Oryzias latipes: one gene and its partners. The protein of the gene in region 2 purifies or fractionates together with the protein of the main gene of each other region. This does not show direct contact. Links are inferred from orthologs where the notes say so. Each region holds a gene or a part of one and is shown on either strand. Other genes may lie near its edges.

The links.
Region 1: the proteins of polr2g (region 2) and med1 purify together in Homo sapiens (affinity purification with mass spectrometry; 3 studies listed by BioGRID and IntAct, with this or other methods). This does not show direct contact. The link is inferred for Oryzias latipes from reciprocal best matches to the Homo sapiens genes POLR2G and MED1.
Region 3: the proteins of polr2g (region 2) and scaf1 purify together in Homo sapiens (affinity purification with mass spectrometry; 3 studies listed by BioGRID and IntAct, counting the BioPlex papers as one, with this or other methods). This does not show direct contact. The link is inferred for Oryzias latipes from reciprocal best matches to the Homo sapiens genes POLR2G and SCAF1.
Region 4: the proteins of polr2g (region 2) and gpn3 purify together in Homo sapiens (affinity purification with mass spectrometry; 3 studies listed by BioGRID and IntAct, counting the BioPlex papers as one, with this or other methods). This does not show direct contact. The link is inferred for Oryzias latipes from reciprocal best matches to the Homo sapiens genes POLR2G and GPN3.
Region 5: the proteins of polr2g (region 2) and ctdp1 purify together in Homo sapiens (affinity purification with mass spectrometry; 4 studies listed by BioGRID and IntAct, counting the BioPlex papers as one, with this or other methods). This does not show direct contact. The link is inferred for Oryzias latipes from reciprocal best matches to the Homo sapiens genes POLR2G and CTDP1.
Region 6: the proteins of polr2g (region 2) and polr2m purify together in Homo sapiens (affinity purification with mass spectrometry; 4 studies listed by BioGRID and IntAct, counting the BioPlex papers as one, with this or other methods). This does not show direct contact. The link is inferred for Oryzias latipes from reciprocal best matches to the Homo sapiens genes POLR2G and POLR2M.
Region 7: the proteins of polr2g (region 2) and gtf2b purify together in Homo sapiens (affinity purification with mass spectrometry; 3 studies listed by BioGRID and IntAct, with this or other methods). This does not show direct contact. The link is inferred for Oryzias latipes from reciprocal best matches to the Homo sapiens genes POLR2G and GTF2B.

Annotation. Positions count from the first base shown.
Region 1 is NC_019877.2:9,657,436-9,660,935, forward strand, and holds part of med1 (mediator of RNA polymerase II transcription subunit 1), read right to left. Parts: intron 1,586-3,500; exon of another isoform or gene 1,417-1,585; intron 682-1,416; coding exon 575-681; intron 250-574; coding exon 171-249; intron 1-170. UniProt on the Homo sapiens protein: Component of the Mediator complex, a coactivator involved in the regulated transcription of nearly all RNA polymerase II-dependent genes.
Region 2 is NC_019868.2:13,737,590-13,741,709, forward strand, and holds the start of polr2g (DNA-directed RNA polymerase II subunit RPB7), read right to left. Parts: upstream 2,801-4,120; 5' UTR 2,562-2,800; coding exon 2,550-2,561; intron 2,302-2,549; coding exon 2,192-2,301; intron 2,022-2,191; coding exon 1,862-2,021; intron 1,684-1,861; coding exon 1,633-1,683; intron 1,524-1,632; coding exon 1,458-1,523; intron 1,321-1,457; coding exon 1,249-1,320; intron 626-1,248; coding exon 592-625; intron 1-591. Other genes in the region: uncharacterized protein LOC101155778, read left to right, coding at 3,199-3,267, 3,341-3,508, 3,600-3,699. UniProt on the Homo sapiens protein: Core component of RNA polymerase II (Pol II), a DNA-dependent RNA polymerase which synthesizes mRNA precursors and many functional non-coding RNAs using the four ribonucleoside triphosphates as substrates.
Region 3 is NC_019866.2:24,770,106-24,773,605, forward strand, and holds part of scaf1 (splicing factor, arginine/serine-rich 19), read left to right. Parts: coding exon 1-1,904; intron 1,905-2,506; coding exon 2,507-2,589; intron 2,590-2,672; coding exon 2,673-2,948; intron 2,949-3,500.
Region 4 is NC_019870.2:16,801,177-16,805,397, reverse strand, and holds the start of gpn3 (GPN-loop GTPase 3), read left to right. Parts: upstream 1-1,421; 5' UTR 1,422-1,536; coding exon 1,537-1,584; intron 1,585-1,740; coding exon 1,741-1,849; intron 1,850-4,083; coding exon 4,084-4,221. UniProt on the Homo sapiens protein: Small GTPase required for proper localization of RNA polymerase II (RNAPII). May act at an RNAP assembly step prior to nuclear import.
Region 5 is NC_019869.2:25,078,931-25,082,430, reverse strand, and holds part of ctdp1 (RNA polymerase II subunit A C-terminal domain phosphatase), read right to left. Parts: intron 3,399-3,500; coding exon 3,257-3,398; intron 3,170-3,256; coding exon 2,951-3,169; intron 1,147-2,950; coding exon 993-1,146; intron 1-992. UniProt on the Homo sapiens protein: Processively dephosphorylates 'Ser-2' and 'Ser-5' of the heptad repeats YSPTSPS in the C-terminal domain of the largest RNA polymerase II subunit. This promotes the activity of RNA polymerase II.
Region 6 is NC_019861.2:21,379,036-21,383,013, reverse strand, and holds the start of polr2m (protein GRINL1A), read left to right. Parts: upstream 1-1,178; 5' UTR 1,179-1,289; intron 1,290-1,374; 5' UTR 1,375-1,421; coding exon 1,422-1,528; intron 1,529-2,260; coding exon 2,261-2,794; intron 2,795-2,909; coding exon 2,910-3,132; intron 3,133-3,763; coding exon 3,764-3,907; 3' UTR 3,908-3,978.
Region 7 is NC_019875.2:5,825,962-5,829,968, forward strand, and holds the start of gtf2b (transcription initiation factor IIB), read right to left. Parts: upstream 2,801-4,007; 5' UTR 2,722-2,800; coding exon 2,705-2,721; intron 2,058-2,704; coding exon 1,945-2,057; intron 228-1,944; coding exon 94-227; intron 1-93. UniProt on the Homo sapiens protein: General transcription factor that plays a role in transcription initiation by RNA polymerase II (Pol II). Involved in the pre-initiation complex (PIC) formation and Pol II recruitment at promoter DNA.

The DNA of each region.
Region 1 (3,500 bases), on a different chromosome or scaffold from region 2:
TTTCACCCGTAAGTTAAATAATTGGAGGAAAATATAAAGCTGAAGTGAAAAAGTAATTGTCTGAAGCCTTCACGGCTTTACCGATTAAGAGACAAAACAATCATTATGAAAGAATTGCGACGTTAGCTATTCATTCTTTTTCTTTTTGCACTGTGGGACGGGACCCTCACCTTTTAGTGCTCTCTGCAGGGTCTCCAAACAGTTAAGCAGGAGCTGGTGACCTGCCGCATTCATCACACCGCGTTTCTCCTGAGGCACAACACGAGTAAGGAGAGGAAAAAAAAGAATAAAATGTTGAAATTAATGATTATGCTTTATACAACCAAATCGGGCTTGCTTTTAATTTGCGTAGCCAGCACTCTTGGTCTGACATTTAAATGTCACCAAGGGAGGTCAGTAAAGAAATAACTTCTTTAAGCTGTTTTGTGCTTGTTATTACATACTTAACTAAGAACACTAACAGGCTGTAAATGAACTTTTACTGCACTCTGAGCATGTGCAGTAATCTAGAAATATTTTTATAGTATGTATAATATTGTGGGAAAATTGGAAAATAATAGAATATCTGTCTTACCATAGCCTGACGCACAACTTTGCATGTTTCCTGCCATGGTCGGGAAGCATTGTGTTTAGCATGAAGTCTCTCTAACAGAGCAACCGTTCGACTCTGCTTTTCTGCCTCTAAAAGACAGAAACAGAATACAGTTAAGCCTATAATGACTGACCTGTTTTTCCTTTACACATTGGATTTATTTTTTTCCTAAAAAAAAAAACAGATTAAAAAATACAAAACTTTGATTATATATCTTATAAAGGACAACATAACCTGATTACTTTCATAAAAAGGTTGAGTTGTATTTTTTTAGGCAGTTAATAGTCAGGTAGTATCACTATATACCTTCTTTAAACAAAGGCTTAAACCCTTAGTTATAACAAATATTTTATTGCTGTAGAATGCAACTAAAAAATAGTCAAAAGTAATTTCCCAATTTATCACCTCTAAAAAATGTCAGTATATTTACATACAAAGAAGAGCATCTACTGAAATCTTAGGTCAGCAGTTTGTTTTGTTTAGGCTCAGCTAAAAGTAATGACATTTTAAAATGACACGTTGCTTTCTAAGGGAGAAATATTTAAAGCGTCTGTTCTTTATGTAACCAAAGAAACTATGAGCATTTGTGAAAAGCTTTAATAATATAAACCTACGGTGGCCGACAGAGCTCACACTACATACAAAAAAGACAACGCAACGACATTACCCGAAGCACAACGGCGTTCCCCGAAGCACAACGGCATTACCCGAAGCACAACGGCATTACCCGAAGCACAACGGCATTACCCGAAGCACAACGGCATTCCCCGAAGCACAACGGCATTACCCGAAGCACAACGGCATTACCCGAAGCACAACGGCATTCCCCGAAGCACAACGGCATTACCCGAAGCACAACGGCATTAACCACAGCGCGACGGCATTAGCCGCAGCATATCAATATTAACCTCCTCAGCACAACGGAAATGACGACTATTTTTCTTCCTACTGGACATAAAGTCAGTTTCAACATATTCGGCGCTCCTGAGAGAGGTACGTGATTTTTTCTACTACTAACTATGAGGATCATAATGGTGTTTTCGTTTTCTTACTAGATAACCTAATTTCTTACAAATATACTCTTCTTCTTCTTTCTCTTTCGGCTTTTCCCATCAGGGGTCGCCACAGCGAATCATCCTTTTCCACCTCACTCTATCATGGACATCTTCTACCCTAACATTAGCCAACTTCATGTCCTCTGTTAAGACATCCATGTATCTCCTCTTTGGCCGTCCTCTTGCCCTCCTGCCAGGCAGCTCCATCTCCAACATCCTTCTACCAATATATCCACTATCCCTCCTCTGAACATGTCCAAACCATCTCAGTCTGGCTTCTCTGACTTTGTCGCTAACACAGGCAACATGAGCCGTCCCTCTGATGTACTCGTTCCTTATCCTGTCTAACCTGGTCACTCCTAAGGAGAACCTCAACATCTTCATCTCCGCTACCTCCATCTCAGCCTCTTGTCTCTGTCTCACTGCTACCGTCTCTAACCCATAGAGCAGAGCTGGTCTCACCACTGTCTTGTACACCTTTCCTTTGAGTCTTGCTGGCACTCTTCTGTCACACAACACTCCTGACACTTTCCTCCAACCGCTCCAACCTGCCTGCACTCGCCTCTTCACCTCTTTTCCACAATCCCCATCACACTGAACTGTTGACCCCAAGTACTTAAACTCCTGCACCTTCTTCACCTCAGCCCCCTGTAACCTAACACTTCTACCTTGATCCCTCTCGTTCAGACACATGTATTCTGTCTTACTACGACTGACCTTCATACCTCTTCTTTCCAGAGCAAACCTCCACCTCTCTAGCTGTTCCTCCACCTGCTCTCTACTCTCACTGCAAATTACAATGTCATCCGCAAACATCATTGTCCAGGGAGATTCCTGTCTTACCTCGTCTGTCAGCCTGTCCATCAGCATAGCAAACAAAAAAGGACTCAAAGCTGATCCTTGGTGTAGTCCCACCTCCACCTTGAACTCCTCTGTCTGACCTACAGCACATCTCACCACCGTCATACTTCTCTCATACATGTCCTGAACTACTCTAACATATTTCTCTGCCACTCCAGACGACCTCATACAGTACCACAGCTCCTCCCTCGGCACCCTGTCATACGCCTTCTCTAAATCTACGAACACACAATGCAGCTCCTTCTGACCTTCTCTGTACTTTTCCATCAACATTCTCAAAGCAAAAATGGCATCAGTGGTGCTCTTACGGGGCATGAAACCATACTGCTGCTCACAAATCTCCACCTTCTTCCTAAGCCTGGCTTCCACTACTCTTTCCCACAGCTTCATTGTGTGGCTCATCAACTTTATTCCTCTATAGTTGCTGCAGTTCTGCGTGTCACCCTTGTTCTTAAAGATTGGGACCAGAACGCTTCTCCTCCATTCCTCAGGCATCTTCTCACTCTCTAAAATCCTATTGAACAACCTTGTTAGAAATTCCACTGCTGTCTCTCCTAGGCACTTCCATACCTCCACAGGTACGTCATCAGGACCAACGGCCTTTCCGCTCTTCATCCTTTTCAGAGCCTTCCTAACCTCATCCTTTCCAATCTCTGCTACTTCCTGCTCCACAACAACCACATCTTCCTCCCTTCTTTCCCTGTCATTTTCCTCGTTCATCAGCTCCTCAAAATACTCCTTCCATCTTTTCTGTACACTCTCTTGGGTTGTTAGCACCTTTCCATCTCTGTCCTTAATCACCCTTATCTGTTGCACGTCCTTCCCATCTCTGTCTCTCTGTCTGGCCAGCCTGTACAAGTCCTTCTCTCCTTCCTTTGTGTCTAACCTGTCATATAGCTCATCGTAAGCTTTCTGTTTGGCCTTTGCCACCTCTCTCTTCACTTTACGCTGCGCTTCCTTGTACTCCTGTCTACCTTCCTCAGTCCTTTCTA
Region 2 (4,120 bases):
TTTTATTGCTTATTAATGCCATTTATATGCAATTTACAAACTGAAATCTGACAGATTTACTTTCTGAGTAATACCTTTTCAAATAATAATCACTGTGATTTAAAAATATGAAAATATTATTGACCAAATGTTACCATTAAATCATAATACTGCATTGAAAACTGTACTAAAACAAATGACAATTGTATACTGTGAGGTATCAATTGCGTTGAAAATGTACTGTTTATGGTAAAGAATCACTGAATATTTGGAAGAATTAATAAGTTATCTATTTTGTGAGATAAAGGAAGTTGAAGATCATTTTAAGAAGGTCCTTCATGTAAAACTAAATCCTAAACTTCAGTGTATAAAATGTTGTACGTATGTTTGAATATTAGAATTTCCAAATGCTGGCACTGAATGAATTTGATGACAGTTAAGAAAAATAATACAACACGAATGAAAATAAATTTTAATTTAAAATAGTAACCAAACATATTTTAGATTCTAAAGTATGTGTTCTTTTTATATAAAGATCATCATCGTCTAGTTATGTTGTTGTTTGATTGAAAAAAAAAAAAAAATAATTCTGACTTGACATTTAATACTCACCCAAATAATCATCCATCAGAGATCCGATGGCAAACTAGAAAACAAAGAGGAAACTTGTTTCAATGAATAGTTTTGCACAATTCTTTACATGGGTATTTCGACAAGCAGATGTTTTAGTGAGGTTGCTTTTATTGTAATCAGGCTTTTGACTAACTGTCAAACCAGATCCTGCTGTATTCAAACTAAGCTTGTTGTTCTTCTTTTAAATGGTTTGAAAAAACACCAGAAAGTCAAAGAAAGGAACATTACAAGAATCCATATGGACCTAAAGTCCCAATCCAATCATCTTTTGATCTATTGTTAAATTGTTCCCAGTGGTCTTTTCATTAGGATTGTGCTGCTTTTGGCCAAAAAAAACAACAAAAAACTGTGATGTTCTCTGGGACATAGTTTCTGCCGAATGGTAGGAACCTTCATCAGAGATTCACCTCTGAGTTGTCAGCGGGACTATTGGTGCAAAGTAATCCTGCGCTAATTTCGTATCAATCCTCCGTCTACACTCTTTCCCACTAGCTTACAGCCCCAAGATGACAATAGTGCGAGGAATTTTTGGAGCTATCCAGTCCTGGCAGCTCAGTCAAGGAAAATGAAGATGTTAATGGATCTGTGTCGCTACTGGTCAAAAGATCAAAAATAATATTTATGGAAAAAACTTACAATGTCATTCTTGTCCACTCGTGTTCCCACAATCTTCAGTCGAATCTCATCATCTTGCTGGATTACAATGTCCTAATAAACACAATAAGAAATGTTCATTAAAATCAAATGTATCACAAGGATTAAAAACTGAAAGAGAAAAGTAGCCTTCAATGTCTCTGCATGCTAAATCTACTATTGCATAAAACAGACAGAGTAATGACACATACCTCGTCAACTGTTTTATAGCAAGGTGGATTGGAGTTGGGATCAAATTCCATTTCTGAAGGGATCGACTGGGAGAATAAAAAAACAATAAAATACACAAACAATAATATAAAAACATACCTACATATTAGGTCAAGATATATATATAGTAAAGTGTTAAATGTTACATAAACTTACATGGCGAGAAATGAAGCAGGACATGGGACCAATTTCTGTGAACAAGCCAACCTGCAAAGAACCCAAATTTTGTTAAAGGAGGATAGAAAATGTATTTAAAGAGACTGGAATTCAGAAAAACAATTCATGAATCTACGTTTTCCATGTGAAAAACAAGCGTTCAACAAAAGGATCTATTCCATGGCAAACATCTTAGAAAGGCCTACAACAGGTACTTATGGGTCCTTACCTTGTTAACCTGCGTGACCACAGCATCCACCACTTCTCCTTTGAATGGGCGGAACACAATGGCCTTGTACTTGACTGGATAGAGTACAAAACCTCTACCTGGCTGGATCACACCTGCCCCAATGTTGTCAATAGTAGTGACAGCAATGACAAAACCATACCTGGGAGAAGGGACACAAGCAGGAAATACTGTAGGGATGCAGTTCTAAGCTTTTTTATACAAACCAGCATTACAGAAAAGTGAATGCAAATGCTTGTTATTTTCAGGACAGACTAGAAACTTACAAAGTAATCACACTTATGCACTTATTTATGATTAGCTGTTACTCACTTGCCAGTGCAGGTACCTTCCACTTCCGTGAAGAGTTTCTGTTTCACTGTGTTGAGCAGATTTGGACCAAAATACCGTGGATGTAGTAAGATTTCATGTTCCAAAGAAATCTGTAAACACATCATGATCATGGCGTGGTTATGATCGTGCTAACTTAAGAGGAAAAACTTTCCAAATAACATTGCTGTTACAAGCCGATCCAAACAATGGAAGATAAAACTTCGCTGATATATTTGGTAAAAGGGATTTGAAAAAAGTTGTGTGAAGCCGCCTCATTATCGCGCAAAAACCGAAGACGAAAACCTCCCTTCATATCTATTAATACTCTCATAAGGGGTGGAAAAGTTCAAGTACTTACATGATAAAACATATTGTTGTATATAGATGTAGATTCTTTCTTTGATTGTTTTGCACTGTTTTGTCCAAATTGTGTTTCCCTTATGCTAAAACAGCTAGCATGAAGGCATCGGTGTGTCAAAACGATCTCTTCCGGGTCACATGAGATAGTTGCCCTTTCATTGTTTTAAAAGAGAAGAAATGGCACCCTTGTATTGTTAATATATAAAACCCACAGAATGTAAAATGTATATCGTGAAAATCAAATGTGTGGTTATAACTTTGAATTTGTATTTTTAAGAAAGGTTACCTCAGACCATGTTCAGCACTCATGACTGCTGCCCCCTACTGGCGAGGAGGAGCCGACGCAACAGGGCGTACTAAAGAACAGGCGTCACTCAGCGGAGCTTATTCATTGGATGATTTCAACCGATTTAAGATCTGACAAACACAAAGCTAAATAGCGTCTGTGTGGCCACACGCGACGGGAAATCACCCCAAACAAGGCTCATGTTTGGACGGCATTCAACTGTAGCTTTTTCGAATTATAATATCTGTAGATAGTAATGTGTGAGATTTTTATTTTTTAAAGTAAATAATTTTAGGAAAGCCCTGGAGTATTTGAGGCGACTAAAAAGCGTAAACCAACCACAAAAAAGCGGTCTGCATTGATGTGGAGTGACATGGCAGGCAAACTCGTCTCCAAGTTGTTGTTTCGGTCGTCCTTACTAACTCAAGCTGTGAGTAGTTGAAAAGTCTTGTGTGGTGTTTGTTGAGTCGTGCTTGTTGCTGATTCCTTCGGTGTCCACTAAGGCTCCGCCCGCGTCAAGCCTCTTACTCCAGGGGAGATCTGGCGGATCAGCGGCGACCAGACAATCCTCCAGCGGCGGTCCACCGGAGAAAATAAGTCGTTACCCGATTCCCTACAGAAAAAACCTCCCTTATGACATAGTGGAGCTTATGGAAGAGGTTGAGGCAAAGGTAAACGCTCACAAATAACGAATTCGACGTTTAAATTAAGGTTTACACTGTGAAAATGTACATCTTTCTTTCTATGTTTTGCTTCTCACAGGGAGGTTTTTTGCCCAATGTCTTCAAAGTCCTGTCTCATAGACCAGCTGAGTTCAGAGCCTTCTTCGCCTACTACAATGAGTTAATGAATAAAGATACAGGTGGGTGTTGCCTTTAAATTACCCCTTATTTTGGAAGGACGTGAAGATGAATTCAGAGACTCTGACACACACACACACACACACACACACACACACGTTCAAACTGCAGTTCCTGCTCCGCTCCGTTCACTTGCAGACAGATCCATGTCCGTCTCTGTTTTCCTCATCCCAGCTGGTATTTGGCTCAAAACTGTACGGCTGGATAGCTCGCCGTTTTAGTTGCACCACTTATGTTAGGTTGGGCTTGTGAGGGGCTGTAGGCTAGTGTAAACAGATTGGTGACGGGAAGTGGGGGCGGGCTTACTCCGTGCCTAGAATCCCGCCAACAACCCAGATGAATTTCTCATGAGCTGCTGCCGATGTGCAGAACATATGTCCTAGAAAACGACACAGGTTTTTGATTTTGGCTAAAAATGACATA
Region 3 (3,500 bases), on a different chromosome or scaffold from region 2:
CAGAAAGAGAGACAAGAAGGAGAAACCACATTCAAGCAGCAGAGAGCGGCCCGCAGCGCAGAGCGCCAAAAGGAGCAGGGAGAGGAGGGACGGCAACCGAGACCGCCACCACGACCGGGAGCGTCGCTGCGATGGCCGCCCTGTGGTTCCGCCCTCCATCCAGGACCTCAACGGGGCCGACCTCTTTGCCATCAAACGAACCATCACGGTCACCACCACCACCACCACGGTGCCCGGCTCCCCCAGACACGCCCCCCCATCCCCCTGCCGCATCGCAGAGGTTGCCGATCCCCACAAGAGGAAGAAGAGAAAGTGGCGCTCGTCTGTGGATGTGGAGGATCACCGAAGGAGTCGCAGCTGCTCGCCGCCACTCTCGCCGCCAAGATACCATGGCTACGGCTCAGACCGCTACTCCGACAAACTAGAGATCGACGTTTTGTCTTTGGACGGGGAAGCTCTAGACTCGGACTACCCGTCTTTAGAGGACACGCCTCCTGCTGCTCTGCCTCCAGAACCTCATATTCCCAGCCCCAAACCCAAGTCGGCCCCCAAGACTGGACAGAACCGCTCCAAAAAGAAGTCCCGCATCCTGAAGAAGTCTGAATCCTCCTCCAGTAGAACCACCGGCAAATGTCTGTCCTCGCTGACGGTCACTTCGGGCTCCGCCTCCGCCTCGCCAGCCCTCCCCTCAGTGAAGCGACCCAGAAAACTCGGGAAGGAAAAGGGGCGGGACAACAGCAGGAAGGACCCGAGTCGGCCGGGGAAATCCAAGAAGGAGACAGGCGGCAGTCGGAAGGGCAAGCTTCAGTCCAAGGTGTCCGTGCTGGTCCGGGAGGGGGTGAGCAGCACCACGGGGGCCGGAGTTGGCTCCGGGAAGCTGAGCATGGACCTTCTTGGTCCTGGAGGGGCAGGAGGCGGAGCTGGAGGCTCAGTGGTGGGAGGATCCATTGCTGTGGTCTTCTGCAGGGACAATGAAAGCAGATCGCCCTTCCTCAAGCCCTGCTCCGAGCCGCTGTCGCTGGGGGGCCGCAGTAAGGACCTGACCGGCTTGGCCAAGCGAAGCGGTTTGGCTGGACCACCATCGTCCTTAACCGGCCCCGCGGGGCTTAAACCCAAAAAGACCAAACCCAGCTCCATTACATCCACCTCCTCCTCAGCGTCCTCCCCCTCATCCTCTCTGGCAACCAAGCGCCGCCGCCGCCTCGCCAAAAAGGTAAAAGAGAAAAGCGGAGCCATTGGCTCGACTGCAGAGGACGGTAGCCAATCAAAACCTCCGCCTGAAGGCTGGGGCGGAGCCTCCTTTGATGGTCAGTCTGTCGCTAAAGAGAGCGGGAGTAAGACGGTCAGCCCTCACACTGGCCATACCGGGCCGGCGCCCTCCTCCTCCTCCTCCACGTCCTCATCCACCAGCGTGCTCCCGCCCTCCTCCTCCCCCCCACACAGTCCTCCTTCATCTGCCGCTCCTCTGAGGGACACCCGGGAGTCGTCGCCCGACTCTCAGACCGTGGACAGTAGCTGCAAGACCCCAGAACCGTCCTTCTTGGGGGAGGACGGTCCAGCCCGGAGCAGCCCCACACCGGCCCCTGCCAGTCCCTCCAGCCTGTCCACGCCGCAGGGCGCCGGCATCACCAATGTCTTGACCACACCCACCGCAAAGCACCAACCTCCAGATGACACCCCGAAGTCTGTGGCGTCTCCTCCTTCCTCGTCTTCGTCAGCAGGCGGGGGCCTCAACTCTCTCTCTCTGCCCCTGTCTTCGTCTGATCCCTCCTCCTCGTCTTCGGTGTCGTCCTCCTCTGCCAGCAAACCTCCTCCTCCTCCACCCCCGCCTCCCCTGACGGCATCCAGCCTCCCCTGGAGCCTGCAGACCGGGGTGGACTGCACGACGGGGGGGGTCCTGGCATGTAAGTCCTCTGGTAACCAGCAGCTCTGCCTTCATAGAAACATGTGGGGGGGCTGCATAAATACCCCCTGTAGGGGTAGGTTTAAAAACTGAGACTGAATTTCACTTAGAAGCATTGATTGAAGTATTGTTTATTCCTGTATTTCAGGAAAAAATACTTTTAAATAGAAGAATTTATCATTTAATGATGAAAATTCCAAGTTTTTCTTTTTTTATCAGTGTAAAGAGTTTGGGACCGTTCTTCCAAATGTACTCGGTCCTGATCCGATGACTCGTGACTCGGTCGTCCAGGCAGATTTAGCTGATGTTATCTCACATTACCCAGAAAGCTCAGCACGGATGGACCGCCGTGAAAAGCAGTGACGTTTAAAGAAATCCCCGTCAGAGTGGTTGAAGGCAGGAGTCGCCTGTTTGGAAGAACATCAAAGCTGAAAAACTCTGAGGTTAGGTCTGAAAAGGAACCGGGGAGGATCAGGCAGCTGACACGGTCATGATGGAGGCGGAGCTTAGCGTCTGCGGGAAAGCCTGGCCTCTATTTAAAAAAAACAAAAAAGATCTCAGCTGCAGGTTGTTGTGCTGATGTTTCATCTGCTCCCCCCTCAGTGACCGCCCTCCTCTTCAAAATGGAAGAAGCCAACCTGGCCAGCAGAGCAAAGGCTCAGGAGTTCATCCAGGCCACCAGCCAGGTGAGTTGGGAGGCCCACCTGCCTCTTCTCCTCTTCCTCCTCTCTGAGGCAGAGCGCAAACTAACAAACATGTCCCCCTGCAGATCCTCTCACAGGCCAATCAGAGCCAGGCACAGCAGCTTGCTCCTCCCCCCTCTGCACAAATCCCTCCCCCTCCTGGTCTAAGCCCCACCCAGTTCATTCTCCACAGCTCTCGTCCTTTGGCTGGATGCACCAAGACGCCACCCCCTCATCTCCACGCCTCCATAACAGCCGGGTGTGCGCAGACCCCCCCCTCTATCATGCCTGGAGGGCTGTTGGGGGTGACGGGGGGCTCCAGTGATGCAGCATGGGAAAATGAGTCCAAAGACCCTGACAAGGTGAGACGAGTCGTAGCAGAAGCTACATTTCTTTCTTTCTCTCTTTAAGGTTTCAAACTGATATTAGTGGGAGAAGTGCACGCCGCCTACACGTTCACAGCTGCAACATTTGCTGGACCTTGTGGAAACAACAATCCACCCTTTTCATTGGATCTCAAAGCATTTGATCACCACAAACCTAATAGATACAACCGCAGCACAGTAGTGTGTTGGTGAGCGACGGCGTCCCCGCCGCTTCCACAAGCTCACCCCGTTATTCAGCCATGGAATGATTACGGGTCTCAGTCCACAAAGTGAGTCTGCAGGAGCGTCAGCCACCCCCGTCTTCACTGCCCCCTTCCTGGCTGAGCAACGGCTACCCCCTCCCCCTGGCTCGCAATGACACTCGAGGAGTTAGGACACGATGGATCAAAATTTCCTAGGAAGAGTTTTAGACTTTTTAAATTCAAGATGGCGACCTTTTCCTGAGGTCAAAGATCAACAAAACTCCGGTTGTGGTTATACGCTTCGTCCAAATTCCTTCCCTACTCTCTACAAAGTGCACTATGATGC
Region 4 (4,221 bases), on a different chromosome or scaffold from region 2:
GAGGTTTTCAGACCTCATTACTTTTTAACGCTACACAAACGATTATTATAGTCATTTATAACTAGGATTTAAAAAAAGAGAGGATTATTATCGCTCGTAAACAAATACAGAGCCTTATGCTAACAACAAACCTTAAGGTAGTTCCTGAAGTGAAACTATTTCATATCACGTAAATCGAAAGCACTGACGAAAATTAACATGAACGTGTTTCAGACAGCAAAAAAAAATACAACAAAAAAAGAAAACATTTGTTTTAAAAAATAGAAAAACAAAGACTTGCCATAGTTAGTAGTAGTAGTAGTACCTGCTAAGAAGTCCACCGTCACGCGGTAATGTCTGTACACAAACTTGGCCTGTTAACTCCATTCACTTCCTCGAAACATACTATTAATTTAAGCGCCTGATGAAGGACGCAATCAACAAACTTGGTGAGCAGGAAGGCTTGCATACGTTTCCAAATTTCACCTGATCATCGCATGTTGATGCAGTCACTTTCTACTTCTTACTCAATTTTGGTGGTTTCGTTTGTTGACAGCAAAGATCCCTGGGGCTCTACCGCTCCCTAACGGCCAGTTTGTGAACAACTTATTGTCATGATCTTTGCTTTAAGTTTCATGGTTATCGTGGTCATATCATAGGCAGTTTAAACGACTTGTTCAAATAAATACATATGGTTTTAATAAAGCAATTTTAAAGTTAAAGAGCAAAATTTTTCATTTCCTGGGGAAACTTAAAAAAATGCCACAACTGACACTGCCACAGAATTTGCGACTCAATGGTAATTGACACACAAAAAGAAAACAATTGTTGCACAGTATTTTCCTCACTATATTGGTTCAATGCTCATCATCAGTACATTCGTATGGAAGATTTCTGTAGTATATTTTAAAATGAAAGTCAATACCAGAAATGCTTTTTCAATTTTTAAAATGAAGCTGCATTTGTAATAATTTATAATAAAAAAAAAAACAATCCGACCAAACCACTTTTTCTTTTTCTTCTTCTTCAACACAGCTCATTCTGTCACTTAATTAAAATGAGAAAGAAAATGGTATTCGACATTTTTTACTAAATGTGTAGCATAATGTAATTAGAAATATCTTCTTTGATCATCAAAGTTTATTAACAGAAATGCTTTTTCATTTTGAAAATGTAACTGCATCAAGTGAATTAAAAAATAAAATTACAAACGAATGAGCCAATCTGCTTTTCTTTTTCTTCTTCAACACCGCTTATTCTGTGGCATAATTAAAGCGAAAATGCAAAGATGGGATTGCATTTTTGTTTTCACATCCACCGTGCGAAAGGTGTAATAATTCATCACCAGTTCATTCCATTGTGGCTCTTTTTCAGACCACTGTCACCCTGACTTCCATTTCCTCTTTTGATCAGTAGGTGGCAGTAATGAGCCTGACCGTAAATCATCTACCGGAGAAGAAGAAGTAGCGTCATCACACCGATGCGTATGGCATTACAAGCTAGCGTCTGTGGTTAAAGATACTTAAGATCTTTATCACACCGCATTTTTCAGAGAAAATGCCTCGCTATGCCCAGTTGGTGATGGGCCCGGCTGGTAGCGGAAAGGTATGTTTTCAAAAATGCCACTGGATGGTCTACAGCCTCTTGTCTGTTGTTGCTAACAGTACATGAGGTGGTGTCAGTCACCCAGCGTGTTTTTATTTTGTTATTGTGTTTTGCCATTAATTGTATCTTTTTAAAATATTATTATTAATATTTCAGAGTACGTACTGCTCCACCATGACCCAGCATGCAGAGGCTTTGAACCGCTCAGTTCAGGTGGTCAACCTGGATCCAGCAGCAGAACACTTTAATTACCCTGTTATGGCAGGTTAGTATGCTCAAAATGAACCGTTTGTGTCTCCAAATATGAAAACAAAAAAATTAAAAAACGATCATGTTGTCATGGTAATCCATCTATGACAGCAGGATGTCCTTTCTGACGTTGGTAAATCCTTGTTAAAGTCTTGAGATCTGTTGAACCTAATTTACTTTTGTTTAAAAAAAAAGTATTTTATTGAATCTTTAAGTTTATATAATAATAATAACAATATTAATAATAATAATAGTGGATTGGATCTTTCTGCGCTTTTCCAGACGCTTAAAGTGCTTATTATGTGTCCATTATTCATTCACTCCTAAGTCATATTATGGATACACCTCAGTATTGAGAGATAGAATGTTACAAATTAAAGACTTCATTTGTAAAGTGAAGTAGAAAATAAGTATTTGGTCAATATCAAAAGTTCATCTCAATTCTTTTGATAGAGGTCAGACATTTTCATTGGGTCTTCTCTTTTGGTCCATTTCTCCATGTAGATCTCCTCAAGAGCTTTGACGTTACTGAGCATCACAGACTTTCATCTCCCTCCACAGATTCTCTATTGGATTGAGGTCCACAGTCTAGCTAGACCACTCCAGAGCCTTAAAATGGTTCATATTTTGCCACTTTTGTGTTGCCTAGGCCAGTGTTTTTCAACATTTTTTGAGCCACGGCACACTTTAACCTTGACAAAGACACAGCGGCACACCAGCATCCAAAAAAAAACTCAGTCTGTATTGATCGACAGCCCCCCCCCCCCGCAATCTCACGTGCATTTTTGTGATAATTGGGGCAGAAAAAACAGGAAGTTGCAGCTGTTTTTTCTAAAAGATGAAATAAAAGTTAAGTTAGAAAATTCAAAAACTGTTTCATGTGTGTTTGTTGTGGTTTCAAGACATTTAACAAGGACGACTCATTGTACGCTAAGACGCTGTCCCTTTAACCCAGTGCATCGTGGGAGATGTAGTGTGAAAACTGCCGCAAAAGGGCAGAAGCTTCAATGTTTTGTTCACTTGTTCCACGGTCTGACACCGGATTCTGTGGAAAGCTACACCGCTAAAGACGACCTTTGGCTGGTATTTTTGTTAGAACCGAGAGACTTTATGAGCTAAATCGGGACAAGGAAGTGAAGACTTTAACCACTTCTGATTGGTCAGACTGATGACATGTGATTAAACCTTCAAGAATGATTGGCGGAGACAGTTAAAGGGGCGGGACTTTTCCTAAAACAGCTAAAGCTGCAGCCAAATCGCGGTACCGTCATTCTTATCAAAATGTCTTTAATAGAATCAAATAAACACAAAGAAAAAATAATTTTGTGATCTTTTATATTCCTAACTACTCAGTGTTTTATCAGGGCCTGTTTGGATGAACACAGAGCTGATTTCCTGGAGATGGGAAATGTTTTTAGATCAGTTAATGAGGGCAATTTCCCACGGCACACTGGACCATCTCCCACGGCACACTAGTGTGCCGCGGCACACTGGTTGAAAAACACTGCTCTAGGCAATGTGTTTGAGATTTTTGTCATGCTGGAAGATCCAGGCACATTTCATCCTCAGTACTCCCACTGAAAGAAGAAGTTTTCTTTTGCCCAAAATCTCTCCATTCATCCTTTTCGTAACAAGGATCAGTTGTAATGTCCAGTGAGCAGAAACACAGGCCCAATTCATGATGTTTCCACCCCCATGCTTCACAGTAGGTAATGTGTTCCTGGGATGTGAATTGGCGATCTTTCGCCGCAAAAAACTGCAAGTGGCGTTGATGCCAAAGAGTTCCATTTTTGTGTAGTTCTGGGCGGTTTCCTCATCGTTCTCAAGATCATATAGCAAACAGGTGACGTTAACACAGGAAACATGGAAGAATTTCTTAAAGAAGTAACAGGTCTGTGAGGGACAGACATCCTGGTCGTTTGTAGGAGATAAATACTTCTGTGGTACTTTTTGCACCACTGAATAAATAAATGATTTCAAAATCCTAAAATACAATTTCTTGGATTCTTTTTTTTTTTATTGTCTCTCTCACGGTTGAAGTGTATCTAGCTATGATGAACTTTAGAGACCTCTACCATTTTTAAGTAGGACAGCTTGCAGAATCGGTGGCTGACAAATACTTTTATCGCCCGTCGTTGAAATTAGAAGCAAAAGTAGATGATTAGTGAAAAGTGAGATCCTGCGAAGGTTGTTTTTTTAAGTCCGTTTCCAGGAATTAATGCCTTGTGTTTTTTTTTTTTGTGCTTTCAGACATCCGGGAGCTCATCCAGGTGGACGATGTCATGGAGGATGACTCTCTCAGGTTCGGCCCCAACGGAGGCCTGGTGTTCTGCATGGAGTACTTTGCTAACAACTTCGACTGGCTGGAGGAAAGCTTAGGTCACGTGG
Region 5 (3,500 bases), on a different chromosome or scaffold from region 2:
AAGCTCCTGTTCTTTGCTGAAAGACTTCACTCTCCTTGAACTTTGAGCACAGCTGGATTTGGGAAAACCGCCTCTGAGGTCCGAATATTTCTAGGAAAGATTCCTCTGAGAGCTTGACTCCACACGAGTTTCCTTTCTTTGAAGGATGATTTTTTTAAGAACGCACTAAAAATCCTTCAGCAAACACGAAAGAAGACTAAAGCGAAACTAAAATGAAAAAATATGGTCACATTTTGGCAACTAATAGGATTTTTCGCACAGTTAAAGATGAGTAGTGTACTTTAAACCAGATTTTGTCATTTTTCCAAAAACATAGAAAGAAAAAAGAACAACTAACACCACAAACAAGCAAAAATATAGATGAAAATGACAGATTCACACCACAAACACGCAAAAACATACAAATAAAAGATCAATTTACACCTCAGACATTCAAAATTTGAAGGAAAAAGATACATTTACACCACAAACAGAGAAAATTAAGCTGTAAAAAGTTAAATTTATACCTTAAACATAAAAAGATCCCTTTGGCAGGTTAGACAGGCAGCTTGGATGTATCTAAATACTTGAATAATATCCATATTTTGGAGAGTATTTATTTATCAGTGGAAGTTGTGTTTCTGTAATTAAATGTGTTTAAAATCTGCCTCCAGGTGAAGTCACCTGAACACGTGGAAAACATGAAGGAGGAGGAGAGGAAATGGCTTCAGCAGTTTAGTTTTCCCTCTAGAGAAATTCAAATGCTGCTCAGAAAGTGGAGACACTCTGGGTGTCAATCGTTACTGAGGTGTGATATCATTTGAAAGGTTAATCAGACTTCCTGTCATTATTTACAGGTGATGAGGCTGTGGATGGAACCGTGCTGAGAGAGTTCACTGGACTCTGGAGGAGTGGACGCTCGGCCGTGTCTTACCGTCCTTTAGTGCGTGTTTACAGCTGTCAAAGCCTCCACCGTGTTCAGATCATGACCTTCCAGCCTCTGGCCGTCTTACCTCTCTGTCCATGCTCTCCAGGTCTTCCTTGCAGAGCGTGTACAGGGGCATGGTTTCTGACATGCTGGGCTGCCGTCTGCGCCGCGATGGCCCCGCCTGCTCGCCGTCCTGAACGCATCCCGCTGCCTCCTTTAGCGGAGTGGGTGCAGCCGCCCTGAGGTAGAAGCAGAAACCCCAGTCAGGACGAGCAGGTTGGTTGGGGAGGTAAACAGAAACACTCAATCCCTGCAGGAATGCTGGGAAGAATTCCTTTGAAAAACAACGTGTGTGTGTGTGGGGGGGGGGGGGGGGGGGGGGGGCTACACACAATGCTCAGGCTCAAGGGCCCAGCAGACATATCAGCAAGCTCTGCTTAATTGAACAGATCTTCTTTGATCGTTGGACGCGACTCCCGGAAAACTCCTCTGCTCCTCCGATCCGGGAATAGAATGGGCCGATTTTCCACTTGAGATTTTTAATTACAGCACATCATCACAGACCTTTTCGTTTGAAGGGGAGTTTTAGTCTCATGCTTGGTTTTCGGAGCTGAAGTGATGAGTCAGAGAGCTGCAGAGCAGCCACGGGAAAACCATCGCTGTTGTCCCTCAGCGCTCCTCTGGAGCTCCTGCTCATGCCCCCCGGGGGCAACAGTATCCACAAACCTCTGTTTAAAGAGAAACCGAGGATGGAAAGGAGGCTCGCATGGTCGACATCTACTCCAGCTAAGAAGGTAGAAGCTCTCATCAATATACTGAGCAGAACAGAGCCTTTTTCTAAGAAGGCTAATATGTGTCCAGATTTAGCTCAGCTTGATGCATTTGGTTTTGAACTGGGGCTTCATTAAACTGAAGATAATAATGAAGGAGCAAAAGCTCCATGAAGGGCTTCCGATTGACTGAAAGCCAACTCTGATTGATTACATCCGTCCGCCATCGTAATGTGATGAGACTGCCCTGTCTGTACGGAGCAGTTCAGGATGTTATCCCAAGAGGAGACCCCACGCAAAATAGCTCTTCTCCCCACAAACTTCTCCTTCTTCAGTCTTCACAGCATTCAGAGAGGGAGGAGGATCTTTAAATATAGTTGAATGTCATTGTGGGGTCCACCGCCATTCACACTATAGTCATGTCTGTGGAACACCGACCTGCCGGTGCAATGAGCCCCTCTGGTCTGGCTTCATAAGCTCCACATTGCAGAGGAAATATTTCCTTTCACAGCCGCTTGTTGGGCCTAAGAAGAACAGCTGCCCTTACAGGTGGATACAGGCTCTTTGTGGGGGGGGGGTCTGACTTGTACGGCACACGCGGGTGACTTGCACAAAATGTCAAAGGCGTAGATCGCTCATTGAGCTAAAATAATCGCAAACATTATTTTCTACAGGCATGCTGAAAGCTACAGGTTCTAGTGAACACTTAAACAACCCGTGAGGGTGAGGAGGGGTGAGGTAGGTGAGATGCAGGCATGTCATTGGCATTTTTCATTTTTTACCTCCCCCAATCCTGCATTAGGACTCTTCAAGAGATAAGTGTGTGATCCTTACATGCATCCTGATTGTTAGAAATGAGCAGGTTAGACTATCAGAGTGTAGTTTGTGTGGACATCCTATGGGCAGTTGCGTATTCATGATGTCCCTGTAGGTAGCCTAAAGGGTACTAAAAGACACCTGCGCTCCCTTTAACATGCAGCCGCTCCTCTCTATGACCCTCCGTGGGCCGGACAGCCCAAAAACCTGCAGCACCTGCACAGGTGTGAGTAACTAAGGCGTCAGGAAAGTGTTGAAATGTAGGGTTTGGTCCTCCATCGTGTCACAGGGCACCACCTAGCCTCCTCAGGCTCTGACATGTTTCTTTGAAACGGACACATGGACAAACCAAAGAAGGAGTCCTCAACGTTTAGCAGAGACTTCTATGGTTCTTCTCTTTTCCTTTGAACTGGTTCGTTCAGATGCTGAGTCAGCAGCTGCTGTTGTGCGTCAGTACCTGAGGCTGGGCTGATCTCGGGGTTCAGAACTTGATGGGTGCAAGTAGGATGGAGGGCGCTGAACGTTGGGGCCTCTGCGGATGAGCTTTCCTGTTACGGGGTCATACGTCCGGGACTCTGGGGCTGGCGGTGGGGGTCTGGGCTGGATGGGGGTGGGTTGGAAGGCCGGCTTCTGTGTGGAGCCCTGACTTTCAGCAAACGCTGCTGGGCTGTTGCTCCTTCAGGGACAGTGGGGGGAGACGAAAACGTTCATGCATCTTTGAACAGTCAGGAGTTAAAGGGTGATCAGCGAAGGACTTGCATACCTGGGCGTCTTTGAGTAGTCGTCCTTCAGAGGGTACAGCTGCTCATCCACCCTCTCCCAGCGCTCCAGACAGCTCCACAGCCAGTCGGGGTTGACCACATGAAGGTGCTTGTAGCCCTGCCCCTGTCGGACCTTCTCTGTACCTAATGGGGGCCAGCAACAGTTTACAGAACTCAGACTTAACCTAAACCACAAGAGAAAACATGAACTGCTGCTCTTTTCCATCAGAGGAACCACATGGATGT
Region 6 (3,978 bases), on a different chromosome or scaffold from region 2:
TAATTGTCTTTTTTTTTTTGAGGGAAACAGAGCCTTCAGCTTTCAGGCTCATCTTTTGTGGCACCAACTCCCCAGTTCAATTCTGGAGGCAGACACCATCTTTATCTTCAATGCAACTAAAGCCTTCCTCTGATAAAGGAAAAAGTTCTCTTTGACCTGGATGACCTTAACCCTTGTGCTATCATAGGCACTTTGACATTGGGAGTGGGGTCATCTGGACCCCACAAGACAGTGCGCTGAACGTTTTTTCTTAAATGATTTGTAATCTTCACTGGTGTCCAAGGATAACATGAAATCCTCTTCGCCTTTATCTACCTTTGTCCTGGTAGGGATAACACGTCAATGCTAGGGTGGGGTCATTTGGACCCCATAAGATAGCACAAGGGCCTCACTTTATACTTTTCTTATTTCTGCTTTGTTTTTTTTTAAGAATGCATTTAATACATTTACAGTTCCTAACTGGAATGTCTTTGTCATGTGGTTGCAGTGTTTGCCCCTGTGTTGTCTACATGTCTTCCTGTCCTCTAATCCAAACCACTAAGTGTAAACGGTCGCTCTCATTTGTTCCACTTAAATTGTTACATTTTCACTTCACAATTGTCTGTTTGCGTCCTCATAAAGGATTGCGACACATACTCTTTGATGTAATCTGTTGGTCACTTATTGAAAAAAAAAAACTAGAGTTAGCCAATTTGACCCGAATGAAATATTATGGATTAAATTGGATTATAAAACCATTTTAAATAATGTAGTTGGAGAAAAAAATAAATAAATTATTTTGTGGGCACCACTGGTGCTGTGACGTGCTTCATGCAATCAATGACGAGTCATGGTATTTGTCACAGTAATCTGAGTAAAAGATAACTTCAATAAAATGGTTAAGTAAGACATATGGTTACTATTTCCTCTAAAACACTTAAAATGATATGTGATTGAATCTTTTGTCATTTTCCCACAAAACTGGAGATTGTAATTACTTGATTCATTGTTTCTTGCTCTCCTAGATTTTTCACCTTGCGATAATATCGGTTGGAAATTTAGTTTTTTTGTACAACTGAAATTGAATTTACTGTATTGGGAAATTCTCCTCATGATCGTTTTTGGTAGTCGTGACCACCTTTGGCCAGCAGAGGGCAGCAAATTACATGTGTTATTCCAACGGCCAACGAGCTGCAGTACAGTGATCTGTACAGTAGAGGGAGAAAGAGCGTCACAGCAGACGTTGAATTTCCGCAGAAGAAGAAGAAGGTCCCACTTTGAAATGTTGTCATGAGTGGAACTCAAAGAAGGTTTCACGTAGAGCGGATTGTTTTATTAGTAAATTGTTTCTAGTGTTTTTGTCGTATAGTTTTAAAGTCAAATTTTAATCTACAGTTCGTTGTGTGGGAATGGCTGCAGTTGGAAGCGGGTAGCCATCAGTAATGTCGTGGACCGATCAGCGTCAGGGGAAGGTTGGAGACCTGAGGAACCAGAGCAGAGAAGAACTGCAGGAGCTGCTGCTGCGACAGGAAAAAATCCTCTCCAATAAGTGAGTCTGGCCTTTTATTAGACGACAAAAGAGACATTTTCCTGTAGTTTTTTTTTATTTGTTTAATGACCATAGTATATTAGCAGTTAAAAATAGTTACAACACATTCGGTTCCATCATGTTAACGTTATACCAACTGTTAAGAAATTAAAAGTAAAACCTGCACATTTTAAAATGCCCACTTTGGGCTTTAACCGAATGTTTTATATTCCAGATGCTACATGTTCGTTTATATTGTTTATTCTTAGTCATCTTTTAACTTTTAATAACAAAAAGTTACTCCCAAAGACAAATGTTTTGCTCGAAAAATGTCCCTTTTCAACAGTGAATGTAATCATAGCAAGAGGATTATGTTAGAGTCCCCCTCTGATCATCTGGATCCAGTCTCCTACAAGTGGATGCATCATGGCGTGGAGGAGGAGGGGGCTTGTGGCCTGCCGACTGTAGCTTCTACATCACAACAAGATTTTTTTCATGTATATGTCCTCTATCCTGAGAAAAATGCCACAAGAACACGTTAAAAACCGAATTTTCATTGCAGTGGGCCTCGAGGTTGCATCAAAATAGCTAGGAATGTATCATAAACCATATCAACTGATGCTTATTGTGTTGTGTATAAATCACAGATTAAGTTGTTGTTTGTTTTAGAAAAAGAGGCAGAGATGTGATAAATGCCATGTGACATAACTGCTCGATGAGTTCTTTACAAGATGATTGTTTGTTGTTTTTTAGGAGGTTATTACAGACTCTTCCAGACAAAGGGAAAAAAATTCAAGATTTTGCAGACAACGTGCGTCTCGCCATTGAACAGCGCATCGAAGAGGAGAGGAGGCGAGATTTACTGTCTGCTACAAGGAGCGATTTACAATCCAAGTACCAGCAAGCTTTCAGTTCGCAACAACGTGGAGTCACCTCATCAGCACCTTCATACCAAAATGAGGAAGGAGAGGACTCACGAGGAACGGAAAGCACACCTGATTTAGCACCAACGAAGAAAGATGCCACTTTAGAAAAACAAATGGACACATCTGCTGCCGAACCCTCTGTTAAATCTGAAGAGATAAAAGAAAGTGAGCTAGTGGAAGCCCTGGACAGGGTCCAGGTATCCGAGTCCAATACTGGAAAGTCCAAAGAAGCCTTTAACAGCAAAGCAACAACCAATTACTTTCTCCAAAAGCAAACACCAAAGAAGCCTCACTATATTGCTGTCCTGAATAGAGGAGAGTCCTCTTTACATGCCATCAGGCAAAAATTCAAACCAAATCAGTAAGTTACTTTATTTCTTTCAAAACTTTGATATATTATTTGCATTTATGTCTGTTTTATTAGGGATAAACATCTGGATTCCTTGAAAATCAAAATGTTTTAACCCTCTTTTCAGGCTGCTCAACAGAAGTGACGTTTCAACGTCAGGATCCTCGTCACCAGGTGAGCCCTCTGGAGATGCATCGCCGCTGTCCGCTCAGGCCAGGAGGGAGCAGGACAAGAAACACCTGGATGATGTCACTGCGGCCAAACTCCCTCCTCTTCATCACAATCCTGCCCAACTCCTGACCCTTGAAGAGTCCGCTGCCTTACTTGTAGAACACACCAGAAAGCAGCAGGTTAGTGTGACTGAAACCTCTCACACACATCAATATGACTCGCCATTTAAAATGGCTGTGAAGTGTTGAGAGGGCTTCATCACTGATGTCTATCATTTTGGGCTTGTTGTGGACCACTCAGAAGATTTTCTAACAATGCACAGTTGCTACTGTGGAGGTTTTCATATATGTGCAGGACTGATGGTAATATAGGTGTCATTATTTGCCCACAGGGGCATTTTCATAAATTCTTTTTTATTATTTTGTTAAAATGGTCTCAAAACAAAATGTTATTATCTGCCATTGCACAAAAGCACACATTGACAAATGTTATGCAGGTTTGAATAAAAAACTGAAAATAAAAGTGAATAAATTGGTTCAAAGTAAAATAAAAATCTTAGTGAAATGTGTTTTTAATGAATCACTGACTACATCATTTGATGTTTGTTTCATTTTGGTTTTTCATAGTTGTCATTTTCCCTTAAGAACTCCAGAGGGCAGTATTCAGACACTGACTTTACATGCAGACCAATACCTGTAAATGCAAGAGTCAAATCATCTTATTATTATTAGTCATATTTCAGTGTTTATTGCTCTCTTTATGCACTTTTTCCTATTGTTTTTTTTCTTCAAATCTTGTGTATGATTGTAGGAGTTGCAGGCCAAGCTGGCAGCCCAGAAACTGTCTGAGGGACTAAAAATGTCGGTGGGGGGCTACAACCCTGACGGCGGCTCCATGGGCGCCTACAGAGAGGTGCACGATGAAGAAGCACAGCTTTCCTCAGAGGAGGACTGATCCTGGAGGACCAGCTGAGGAAACCGTTGGCCCTTTGGCTCAAAGATGCTTTGGACCTCACTATGTGGAGC
Region 7 (4,007 bases), on a different chromosome or scaffold from region 2:
ACATGTGTGCTGAACCGTGGCTAGAGATCCGTAGGAATCATCCGTGATCTGTTGGACCCCTATCTACAGCTAACCACAGGTCTGCTGTCCCACCTTGCCGATCATGGTAGTTAGATCTCCTCCGTTGAGCAGAGGGTTCTGGGCGTCTCCCACTCTGGATGGATCTTTCTGAGCTTTCTCGTTGGAGAAGGTTCTCCACTCTGAACCCACATCAATGACCCGGTCACCTAAGGACAGAAGGCGTGAAGAACCAGAACCGTGATGTTAGAAAGGCTGAGTGGAAACTTTGATTACACGCTGAATTACTTGTAATTGATTTGAGCAACAATCTCGTTTTTCTGTTTAAACCGTACTTTGACGGTTCTGGTGGATATTTGTTGATGTGCTTTTGGTTCTTCTTTGACGTTTCTGAGGGATAAATTGTGCTACACTGATCTGTGCACACACTGCAGACGTACTGCTTTGTACTGTTGTGTGTAAATGATGCAGATTCATCATCAACATTAAAATAAGACAATCAGATAAAGAAAATGAAAACTGTGGTCGTTCCAGATCAAAGTCCTGGAGCTTTGATCTTTCTTTGGAGGAAAAATGGCTGAAAATAGATCCGTGATGAGAATAAAATGGACTTCCTTTACAGGTGACATAATTACCATAATTTCCGGACTATAGAGCGCACCTGATTATAAGCCACACCCATTACATTTTTAAAGGATAAACCATTTTGTACATACATAAGCCGCACCTGTCTAAGCCGCCCGCATGTGCCCACATTGAACCATGTGTTGTAGAATGGATGTGTACGTGCTGAAACCGCTCGCCGGCGTGTGTGAGAAAGAGGGGGGAGCTCGTGCAGCGGGATAGGAAGAGGGAGCATTCTCATTCACTCACGCTCCTTCCCCCTACACACCCAGTGTGCTGACACAAACACATACTCATTCTACAACACCTATGTAGTTAGTTCATTAGGTAGATTTAGTTGTTACTGTTATTTGTTAAAGAATAATGCGTTGTAATTATTACTTATACCGGTATTTATTTGGAAACCGCGACACCGTGACTTCTCCTGCTTCTTCATCACCGCGGTGATCAAAAATCCCACACCGTCACAGCTCTATTCCAAACAGTGCCTGTGACACGGCAGTAACACGGCAGCAATACGGTAGTAACAGCACTAACAGGGCTGGTTAAAAAAAACATCGTGGTAGAAGTCACTGAGAGCAGCAGTAACTTATTGGCGCTCGCCTCTGCGCAGCACGAACTTCCTGTGCACTGAAACCATGGAAGTCTTCCTCCTCAGTGTCGGATTGGAAAAGCGTCAGATATTCTTCACCACACACGCTCTGTGTCTCTCCTTCGTTGTCGCTGTCAGTGTCACTCTCATCCTGAGGTAAATTCTCTCCTGAGTCTGCACTGTCCTCTCTGTCACGCAGCAGACCGGCTTTTCCAAACCCGTTGGTGATGGTGGATTTTTTCACACTGCTGTTAACCATTGCTTTTAACTTGAAAGCTGCCTCATATGCATTTCTTCTTGCATTTTCCATGATGAGGGTCTGTTCGTGCTATTCATTCAGAAAGCGGGAATTTACATTAAACTTGTGTCTTCCTCGACACATATACCTTATCCCCCGTCTCACTCTTTCCTTTTCTGCTCGAGCGCCCCTAGCAGCCGTTAGAAAAAATGCATAAATCAGCCGCATCATTGAATAAACCGCAGGGTTGAAAGCGTGTGACAAAAGTGGCGGTTTATAATCCGGAAATTACGGTAGCAGGGAAAAAAAAGCTTTTAGGTTTGTTCAAAGCGCATGTGAAGGTCTGACTGTGGAGGCCAGGTCACACAGAACTCTTTACAGCTTCAGCATCAAGACAAACCTCTCCAGCTATGGACCCATTTTACCTCCAACAAATGTAGGCCAAGTACAGGTTTATCATTGAAGTACTCACCTACAACAAGCCCACACTCGGGGCAAATCATGTCCCCAGCGCGGTAGTCCTCCACCAGGATGGCATCAGGATGGTTGGGACATGTCACTCTGGGTAAACTGAGAGCATCTCCGCTGCACAAGCAAAACACAAATGATAACAAAAATGTTAAAAAGGAGCACAAAAACAACAAATAAATGACGAACAAAGAAAATCCCTTAAAGTCGATGTTCCGCTACATTCTCCAAGGAAGAAGCCAGACACCTTGATAGGATTAACAAATATTTATTAAGTCTACAAACAGCCTATGTTTCCAGTATTTATCAGTCGCCTGGTTCTGTAGTTGCTTGTGTCATCTACCCACCAAAACAAAACGCGTTGAATTATGGGAAATACCCATTTCACGATCGCTTCAACTTTCCTAGCATAAAGAAATATTAACGAGTTTAAGTCCCGGTAAATGTGCGGACGTGCGCGTTTCCACGGAGTTTCAGGCTGATCCAGAACTCCTTCAGGCCAACGTTCAGATGTCAGAGAAACGACAAAACCGGGAGTTCTAACGGGCAGCCTCTTCCGTGAAGCTGCCCGCGAGCTAGCTGGCTGTCACGGACGGAGTACAAAAGACTGAACATTCCCGAGAAGAAAAATGGAGCCCGACACTTTCTACCGCCAGAGTCCCACGGTCAATCACAAGACGCGGTGGTTTTTTACCACGAGACACTTTGAGTCACATTAACAAAGAAAACCGGGCTTTGAACGGTTAGCAGCCATTGCAACTCACCGACTTGTCGAAGCCATCTTCCTCCGCTCTCTTCTCCCGGACGGATGCAGCACTTGTACTTATAGACTATTCTGATCACGTGACCAACTACGGGAAGTCAAGAAGGCCAAATAAGTTTAAAAATAAATAAATAAATAAAGTCAAAAATATTGTGTCACCTTTGGTGAAAAAAATAAACCTGTCCCTTTCTTTTACATTTCAGACCCAAAGCGAATAAATCATCAGACTACATTGCCTGCAATGTTGTTGCCGTTTACACATTTGACAGGTCTACTAGAAAGTTGAAGTTGGGTGATCTTCTTAGTCTTCATTCGTGTGTTCATGATGAATACACACGTTGTGTGTTGTTGTGTTTCAGCTTTTCAGGTTTATGTTGACCCCACAGAGACCTTCAGACACCTGATCGACCATGAGGGGCAGGCTTTGGCCCCTCGCGGGCCAAAGGGTTGATGTGTAAATGAGCTTAGTTAAGGTCGGGGTAAACTAGTCATGGTTAAATTTGGGTTGGGGAACTGTTCAAACCTGAGTGTGTGCTTCAGTGTCTTTTTTTCTCTTTACATTGTTTTTTTTCTTAAGCTTCTTTCATTTATTTTTAAGCTAGCATTACTAAAACATTTAACCAATAAAAACAAGTTAAAGACCCACTTTAATGGAAATCACGTTTTTGGTGTTTTTAATATGTTCTAATGGCATTTTTCTCATGATATGATATGATGACATATATAGAAAATTAATCTTAAAACTGCATTTCTGCCCCAAAAAATGTTTTTTTTAATGCATTACTGTTCACAACACATAGAACAAGTATGTATGACAAGAACAATAGTCATAAAAACGGGACTGCCAGGGGATGGCATATATTACAATAGAAATATTGTAAAACACATCACAATACATTGAATATGTTCAAAGACAGAGAATTTTCATAAATACGTATTCCCTTTTTTGTTTGTGCTATTAGAAATAGTACATAAATACGATTCTAATTCTTTAATAAATACAGGGGGGAAAAGTTGTGAAATTTTGATTTGTTGATGTCTAACTTACTTTATATTATGATTGGATTAATTTTCAATTTTATGTTTGATTTTATGTTCTTTTTATGTAGGCCAAATATGATTCATTCAAATTTCATCTGAAATTGTGAGTCAAATTTGTGATTTATAAAACAAGTACATTCTTTCCAAAACTTTTTTGTAATATTACAGTTCCAAAATAGGTGGCTGATTGTTTCTGGGTGTTCTTAACAAAGAGTACAGTTAGGATTTGAAAAAGCTTGTAGCAGTGACGTAGAACTTGCAAC